2 linked regions of the Rattus norvegicus genome follow. The protein of the gene in region 1 purifies or fractionates together with the protein of each later gene. This does not show direct contact. Links are inferred from orthologs where the notes say so. Each region holds a gene or a part of one and is shown on either strand. Other genes may lie near its edges.

What was found. Proteins that work in one complex are often made in the same cells at the same time.
Region 2: the proteins of Zfp346 (region 1) and Krr1 purify together in Homo sapiens (affinity purification with mass spectrometry; 3 studies listed by BioGRID and IntAct, with this or other methods). This does not show direct contact. The link is inferred for Rattus norvegicus from reciprocal best matches to the Homo sapiens genes ZNF346 and KRR1.

What each region holds. Positions count from the first base shown.
Region 1 is NC_086035.1:9,525,947-9,530,202, reverse strand, and holds the start of Zfp346 (zinc finger protein 346), read left to right. Parts: upstream 1-1,452; coding exon 1,453-1,627; intron 1,628-4,256.
Region 2 is NC_086025.1:49,360,555-49,364,593, reverse strand, and holds the start of Krr1 (KRR1 small subunit processome component homolog), read right to left. Parts: upstream 2,801-4,039; 5' UTR 2,658-2,800; coding exon 2,576-2,657; intron 2,409-2,575; exon of another isoform or gene 2,258-2,408; intron 44-2,257; coding exon 1-43. UniProt on the Homo sapiens protein: Part of the small subunit (SSU) processome, first precursor of the small eukaryotic ribosomal subunit.

The sequences.
Region 1 (4,256 bases):
ATCCCCAGCCCCGGTGGTACACACCTTTAGTCTCAGTCTCAGTGCTTGCGAGGCAGAAGCAGGTGGATCTTTATGAGTTCAAGGCCAGTTTGGTCCCACATAATAAGTCCCAGGACAGCCAGGGCTACATAGATCCTGAGATCCTGTCTCAATAATAATAATAATAATAATAATAATAATAATAATAATAATAATAATACAGCAATATAAAACCAGTCTGTGACCTATCTGATTTCATTATGATGTAAAACAACGATTTGTTTTGTTTTCTACCATGTAAAATAGATGGAGATTCCGTTTTACAAGCAGCTTTTGACTCCATTTTGAGGGAGGCAGTTAAGTGCACTCCTCAGTGGACCCAAACTACGATCTGCTTGGCACCACTCACCAGCACAGATTGATAAACGACTTATTTCTGAGAACAGAAAAGATGCTATCTCATAAATTTATTGAGAGTGAATTGAGGCTGTAAGGGCAGATGAGTGTATTAAAGTCTTATCAGGGAAAACGAGCCCAAAAGCTTATCAGACACTGCAGACCAAGGAGAGGGTCTAACTCCCTCATCCATACCCCATAAAGTGGCTAACATGAAGATGAAGATGGCCTCCACACTGGCCTCAAATGCATCATGACAATCCTCCTGCCTCAGCCCTCAGAGTGACATAGTTACAGACATGCACTACATTCTACCTTTTTATTGTTTGGGGTTTTGTTTGTTTTGTGGGTTTGTTTTGTTTCGTTGAGAGATGATCTATTCTTGGAGCGGAGGTTTGTCTTGAACTCCTGGTCAGCTTGTGTCCTCCAGAGTATTTTGACCACAGCCTTAACTATCTTTTTTTTGAACAAAGTTTCTTTTTTCGAATGTGCATTTCTCTAACCTTAATCTCGCAAATTTTGGAACCGCAAGTATGAGCCATCTTGCTCGGTTCCTAATAAGCATTTTTGCTTATTAGCCCAGGCTGGCCTCAAGCTCCTAATCTTATGGCCTCCCCCTCCCATGTATTGAAATGAAGAGCCTGTACCATTATGTCTGCTTTAACAAACTCCTAAGTAAAACACTTCTAGAATGTGGGCCTTAGGTACTCTTCCAAAGAAACGGGAGAAATTTTTCCACACGGAACAAAAGGAAATGAGAAGTGTACCTCAGTGGCTCACCGTGAGCAAAGATGCGAGCCCTGAGCTAAGAACTGTTCGGAAGGAAGCGGCCTGGACGTAGTGAGCAACCTGCACCATTTCTCCAATTCACTGGACTCATCTTAAAGAGCCAGAGGTACCAAAACGAGCCTTGGGGCCCCGCCCCTTCGGGTTCCGCCCCCTCAGGGCTCCGCCCCAGCGGGATCTGCAGAGCCCAAACTTCGCGAGAGTTGCTGGCCGGGTCACATCCCCGCCCACCCACTGCTTGAGGTAGCGGGCCGCATGCGCAGCTCTTCAACGGCGCGGCTTGCAGAAAAGATGGAGTGTCCTGTGCCCGATTTTACGGAGGCTGCGGACCCTGGTGGAGCCGGACCTTACAAGAGCTCCGAGGAGCCGGAGGGTCGGGAACCGGACGGAGTGCGCTTCGACCGCGAGAGGGCGCGCCGCCTGTGGGAAGCTGTGTCCGGTGCACAGCCGGCGGGGAGGGAGGAAGGTGAGTCGGGGGCTCCGGGGTTCGCGGCTGGACTGAGGCGGGATGGCCTGCCTTCTGTCACTCCCCTTGGCGCCGGCCAGCCTCTCCCCGACGTTCCGGAGCTCCGAGCTCGCTCTCGTGAAGGGTGCAGGGCCTCGTAACTCGCTGCCCTGCGGAATTTTTCCGTCCTCCTTTCGAGGGCGTTCACTTGAGAACAGTTCCCCCAGATTCTAGGTCTTGTCCTCTTGGAGATCGAACCAGGACCGTCCCAGCCTGACTCGTAGCCGAGCTAGCTACCGTTCCCCTCTGTGCTTAATTCCATAACCCCACATTGCTTCTCTTCCCTTTCAAAGCCCTACGGTTCTGACCGATCCGAATAGCTTCATTTAGTTTACTTTTTATATTTTCATTTATTTTGTGACACCTCTCACTGCCCAACTCGTGGTGGATCAGCCTCGGAGTGACAGGACAAGTGTGAGCTTTGGAAGGTCTTCCTGAATCCCAGCTTCCTCCCGGGCTTGGTGACTGTGCCCTGACTTGCCATGGTTCTTCCTAGGTAGACCTGGCTGGCCTTGAACTTGCTTGCATGAGTCTCCTGCCTCAGTCTCCTTAGTGTGGGCATTCCTGGCTTGCACCACTATGTCCTTCGATACAGTATTTGTATGTCTGTTGCCAACATCTTATTCCACAGAGGAGGCCCAGGAGCGGGGAAAACTTGCCTCTGGCTGCTTCATCTCACGCGGTATGCAGAGCTGTAGAAGACAGTGTATTCACTTGGAGTGCACTTCTGGGCAGAAACTTGGCAGATTTCTTTGTTTGACCCAAAACTGGGTGGGTAACAAGGGAGCTAAAGGAGTGCAGAGCAAGCTGACCTCTTTCTCTGGCTCTCCAGAGACCTTTCCAACTACTTACTACTAACCCAAATGTACAGGAACTGTATCTGGGGTTTTGTGCTAACCTATCAGATCTCTGCAGAGAAACAGGAATTCTGTACTGGTTATTTTGATTGCTGAGCAGGCTAATTTTGGGAAGTTTATTGTGTTTGTGAACTGCTTGCCCTGGATAAAATAGGATTTTTTTTTTACCATATTCAAGGGAGATATGTTTAAATTTTTTTTAAAGAATGTTTTTATTTTATGTGACAATTGTTTCGCCTGCATGTATGTGTATATGAATGCCAGGTACCCAAGGGTATCAGAGAAGGTACCATAAACCCTGAAACTGGAGTTAACATTATATGCTTTGACTGGGTGTTGAGAACTGAACCCTGGTTCTCTGGAAAAGCAGTAAATGCTCTTAACCACTGAGCGCATCTCTCTGACACCAAGATACGTTGGATTTAAGTGTGTATATACATCTCCAATCTGTTCATTCTGGCTCCTAAATAAATGTATATGTCGTTTCTGAGTCTCTTCTTTAGTATTTTAAGCATTTTTTGAGCCAGGTGTGGTAGCACATGCATGTCATTTTCAGCACTCAGGTGGTGGAGACAGGATCAGGAGTTCAAGCCAGCTTCAGTTAAATACCAAGTTTGAATCTGGCAGTGCTGGTACAGGCCTTTAATCCCAGCACTTAAGAGGCAGAGTCCAGTATATAAGAAATACTCAAGTTAATAAAAAAAAAAAAAAAAAAGAGGCAGAGTCCAGTGAGTCTCTTAATTCGAGGGCAGCCTGGTGTGCAGAGCCAGACCCAGGACAGCCAGGGCTCCACAGAGAAACTCTGTTTCAGGGAGAAAAAACAAAAACAAAAAACAAGTTTGAGGGTAGCCTGGGCTATACAAGACTCTTGCCTCAAAAAGATTGTAGTACACAGTTGCCTCCTTAACCCAGATTTCCTTTCATTAGTTTGACATTCCCTAATGACTGCCCTGTTCCCAGGGCCAGCTGGACTTCAGAGCCTGAGGGATGAAGATACTGTTCTTACTCTGGAGTAGCTTACAGTCAGTCCAGGAGACAAACACCAAACACTTATGTAACATTAATTTTTTTCAAATCTTATTTTTAATGCTTTAACCTCCCTTGTAGCCCACCACCCACCAGAGGTAGTGGAAAAGAAAGGATACAGGGAAGTGGACCTGTGTAGAAAAGGTTCTCTGGAACACCTCCTGTCTGTGTTGTCTGGAAACCGGCAGTTCATAGGCTAGCAGTGACATCTCGATCCACTCACAAACACTTCTAGTCGGTACAGTCTAGTTCGGTACAGTCAGGTTAGCAACAGCAATGACATGACCTAGCAGAGATAGCCAGACCTCAGGCTCAGCTCAAGTCAGCAGGAAGAACCAGCAGGAGAAGTTCTCAGCTGTTCCTCTCTCAGAGGAGCGAAGATCAGCAAAGACACACAAGCATTGCACAGCTAGCTATACCAGCAAGCCAAGCTCTGTCTCTGTCACTCCATGGAGTCCTATTTATACCCTCCAAACACCACACGTCTTCCACTGTGCCCTGCCTCAGCACGTGCATCCCGTCAGCCTGAGTCCCAGGGAGTCCTGACAAATGCAGCTCAACTACACAGACCAGTACATATTTGTTGTTAGCAAAGAATTCGTCATTACATGCCCTTTCAGGTGCTTGCCTTGGCAGAACAGCCTCTCTCCTGTGTCTGCTTCAGTGAAACGTTCCTTCAGGAGTCTGCCTTAGTCTTTGACCTGTGT
Region 2 (4,039 bases), on another chromosome or scaffold:
GGTTCCTTCCAACCATCAGGTACAGTGAGGAGCTCTCCCTCATCTACAGAAGAAAGAATTTACACATCACATGTCAATGGCCTCCACACACACGGTGCACATTCTGTGCACATCTTCATAACATTTCCAATGTACTGTATCCGTTTCCCTGAGTTTTAAATTTTTCAGCATCAGGACCATGGCTCTATCATCATCATCATCACCATCACCATCACCACAACCACAACCACCATCACCACCATCACCACTATCACCATCATGCTGTAATAGGACCACCTGAATACACGGTGGTTGCCTAATCAGAACAGTTCTTTGAGAAAAAGGACACTTCCTTGTATCCACTGTAACTGGAATGCATTAGTAGATAACAATTACTAAGTCACCTTCACTGCACTATAATGTGGTTCAAACACCCTATTACCACCTTTATCCCTTATTATTAGTAACCTTTCTGACTTTTCCTGGTATAGAGACCCACCCCCACATGACTGTGTGTATGTGTAAAATTCTTAAAAGTGGATTCTGGTGTACCATGTCAATTAACAACCACTGTGATAGAATTTTAGGTTTTCTAAAGAGCTTTCTGCACACCTTTCAACAGTAAAAGAAAAGGCACTGTTTCTATTTCCACTTTATAGGAGAAAATATTAAAACCGAAAGGACTGATGTGCTAGAGGGACAGACACTGAAATGGCCTAGAATCCTGACAACTATATGAGATCACCTCTGGAGAGCCTGAGCCACTTCTCCAAACTCTCTGTCCCAGGTCTTTACAAATCCCTCAAATCCAATAGCTACACATTAACTAGACCCAAAGAGAAGCAACCATCCGTGATCTTGTAGCATCTGCACACCTATGGAAGTCTGTGGGGTATGCCATCTGGGGCTCCTTCCCAGAGATCTGTGCTTAAAGAATCTCATTCTGTCCTCGGTAAACCACTGAGGTCTGAAAGGCAAGGCCCTTGGCCCATGCTATCAGCCCCACTTAAGAAAATGTGCTTTTTACTTCCACTCACATCCACTCTGCGACTCCTGGTTCAAACTCCTGACAATGGGTCCTCATAAACCATTCATTCTTCAATACCTTCATTTTAAGAATGCAAACTAATATCCTATAAAAACCGGGAACATGAATTGTATTCTGAGTGTGTACTGATCCAAGTTAAACAGTGCTGTCAATCCGTAAAAGGGAAAGGAGACCCCTACAAAATCACTGAAACAGGCAAAAGAAATAAAAGCCACATTCACAACCCCGGAAGCACTAATAGCCCCAAAACATGTGAAGCTGTGCAACTCCATCAGCCACTGGTGAAACCCAATTATAAACACAATCAGATAAAATTTCTTATCTACCAAACTACCCATTTTCAAAAGTGAAATTAAAAAAATCACTGTAAATTTGGAACAATGAGAAATTTCATCTATTAGGGAGTTGCACTGGCCCAGCTTCCCCACCATGGTTGACTTTGCCCTCACACTGCGAACCTAAACAAACCTTTCCTAAAACAAAGACAAAAACCCGGCACAGCTCCTTCCAGTAGCATTAGCATAACTTGAAGATACCCTGCAATTCAGTGTCTAACCCTTTGTTCCTAAAGAAACGCTTGGGCATTACCAGAAGACATTCGCAAAGGTGCTTACAAGAGCAAGCTCAAGGCAGAGCTCAAATGTCCACCAACGGGGGAATTTAAATATTACACAGCATCACACCTACAAACATCACCTTGGTTAAATAACCAGAGAAGCTAAAAGACACAGCATGCATGGAAGCTCCTTTCGTTCTCCTGTGATTCAAAGGCAAAAATCGAAGCGTCACGTTAAAAATCATCACGGCGGTAGATAGGTAAATTCGATGAATTATTCGGGGTACCAGAAAAGACGCTATTATCTGTGATTGGCACATTGGAAACTTGTCAATTCCTCAAACGTTGGTTTGAGCTTTAACCGGCGTCTATTTTACGTACTTGCCGTACTTACCGTACTCAGTTTTTAAATGCAACAGTTACAAAAACATTTTCATATTGAAGGTAGATTAAAAACAAAACTATCACCATAATTCAAGAAAGCAACCAAACTAGGGCAGCAAAAATCAAACTACCGGTCAAAACTAAAGACTGAGCTGCGCCATCTAGCAATTTACTAATCAGATAAAAGTTCTGACAAAACTTCCCATTTACCTCCCTCCCCACCTTTCTCTGTCCGCCTCACTCACTCTTCACCCTCAACGCTCACCGCACAAGAGGATTATCTTGCCCACCTGATCCCGATCCGCATCCTCTCAACTTTCCCTCCCCATAGCTCAACAAAGTACGGCCGCGCCTTCCACAATTTCTGATTCCTGGTGCTTTTACCGGAGCCAGAAGGCACTTCAGCTACTCTTAACAGGGACAGTCCCTGGCAAAAACAGAGTTAGAACACGTGGCCGGCGCAGTCAACACCCCCCCTAGTCATCGGGAATTGCTCCTGCAGGCACTGAACAGTCTAAAGGAGGCTTAACCCAAGCGCGCAGCCAAAGAAGGAAAAGCGATGCTTCGAAGTCCCCCAGCTCCAGGTTTCGGTTCCCGCACTACCTCACCTTGGTTCTCACGCTTCTGTTTCTGCTGCCGAGAGTCACTTTTTCGAGCTTCTTTGGCAGGCGTGTCTACAGAAGTTGCCATCTTAAAATTGCTTCCGGTGCTACCGGAAGTGGAACTGTCCTTTAATCCCGCCGGCTACAGCGTCTCTAACGCAAAATGAGTTCCGCATGATCCGGACAAAATCTGCGCGGTCTCTACTCAGACCAACACGAAGCCAAAACAGTAGCGTGACACTTCCTTCCCAGGATGCATTGCAGCCTCGGCATTGCAAGCTGGGAATTGTAGTTTTCTTGTACCAAGCTCTAAATTGTAGCTGCTTGTAGCCCCATAGGAAAGAAAGGGAGAGAAGAGAAAGGGAGTGAAGGACAGGAGAGAGAAGAGAGGTTGGTGAGGGAAAGGGAAAGAAGATAGGGGAAATTATTAAAATTCCTATTTGAGGAGGATTAGAAATCTAATAAAAATGGTGAATTGTATCTAAAATTTACCCATACTTTGTTGCTACTCTTTAGCCTATTTGAAAACCTACCTTGAGTTTTGTACTTTAAATCTCTTAGCTTAGAAGACTTTTCCATTTTATTTTTATTTGTTTGTTTGCTTGTCTGTCTGTTTGTTTGTTTTGGTTTTATGACTCGAGGTCTCACTATGTATCGTTCCCTGGAACATGCTATGTAGAGCTGGCTGGCCTCAGAGTCATAATGATCTGCCTACCTATGACTCCAGAATTTGGGATTAAACGTGTGTACCACCACACCCATCTTCAACATTCAAATGTTCGTGGGTTTTTTTTTTTTTGTGGGGATTAAGGGGAGCTGTTACCAAAACTTTATTGCTTATTATTCTTACATCATAACTTTAAAAGGCTTAGGGTGTAGTCATTAAAAACAAAAAAAGCACAAAAATATATTCAATAAATTAGACCCTAAGATGTGGAGAGATGTAACCTGGGTCTGGAAACATGTGAGGACCTCCCCTTCTGAGCCATGCTCTTCCCAACCTCCAGGAAGCATTTAATAAGCACGTGGGTCAATAGGCCAGATAAAGGAAAGAGAGAGGAGTACTCACATATACTTAGTAAAACTGAGACATCGAGAATAATATTTCAGGAGCTAAGATCAGTGGTTCTCAACCTGTGGGTTGTATGAATCCTTAGAGAGTCAAATGACCCTTTCACACGGGTCACCTAAGACCATCAGAAAACACAAATATAAACATTATAATTCATAACAGTAGCAAAGAATTATGAAGCAGCAACGAAAGAATGCTGTGGTTGGTGGGCACCACAAAACGCGGAACTATGATAAAGAGTCGCAGCATTAGGAGGGTTGATAACTTCTAGGTTCCACTATGTTTTAAACAAATTTTAAGGGAAATTCTCTTGTGTATAAACTGGTGCCTTATAATGGCAATCCCATTCGAGTGGCTTTAAGAGTCAAACATAGGGCTGGGGATTTAGCTCAGTGGTA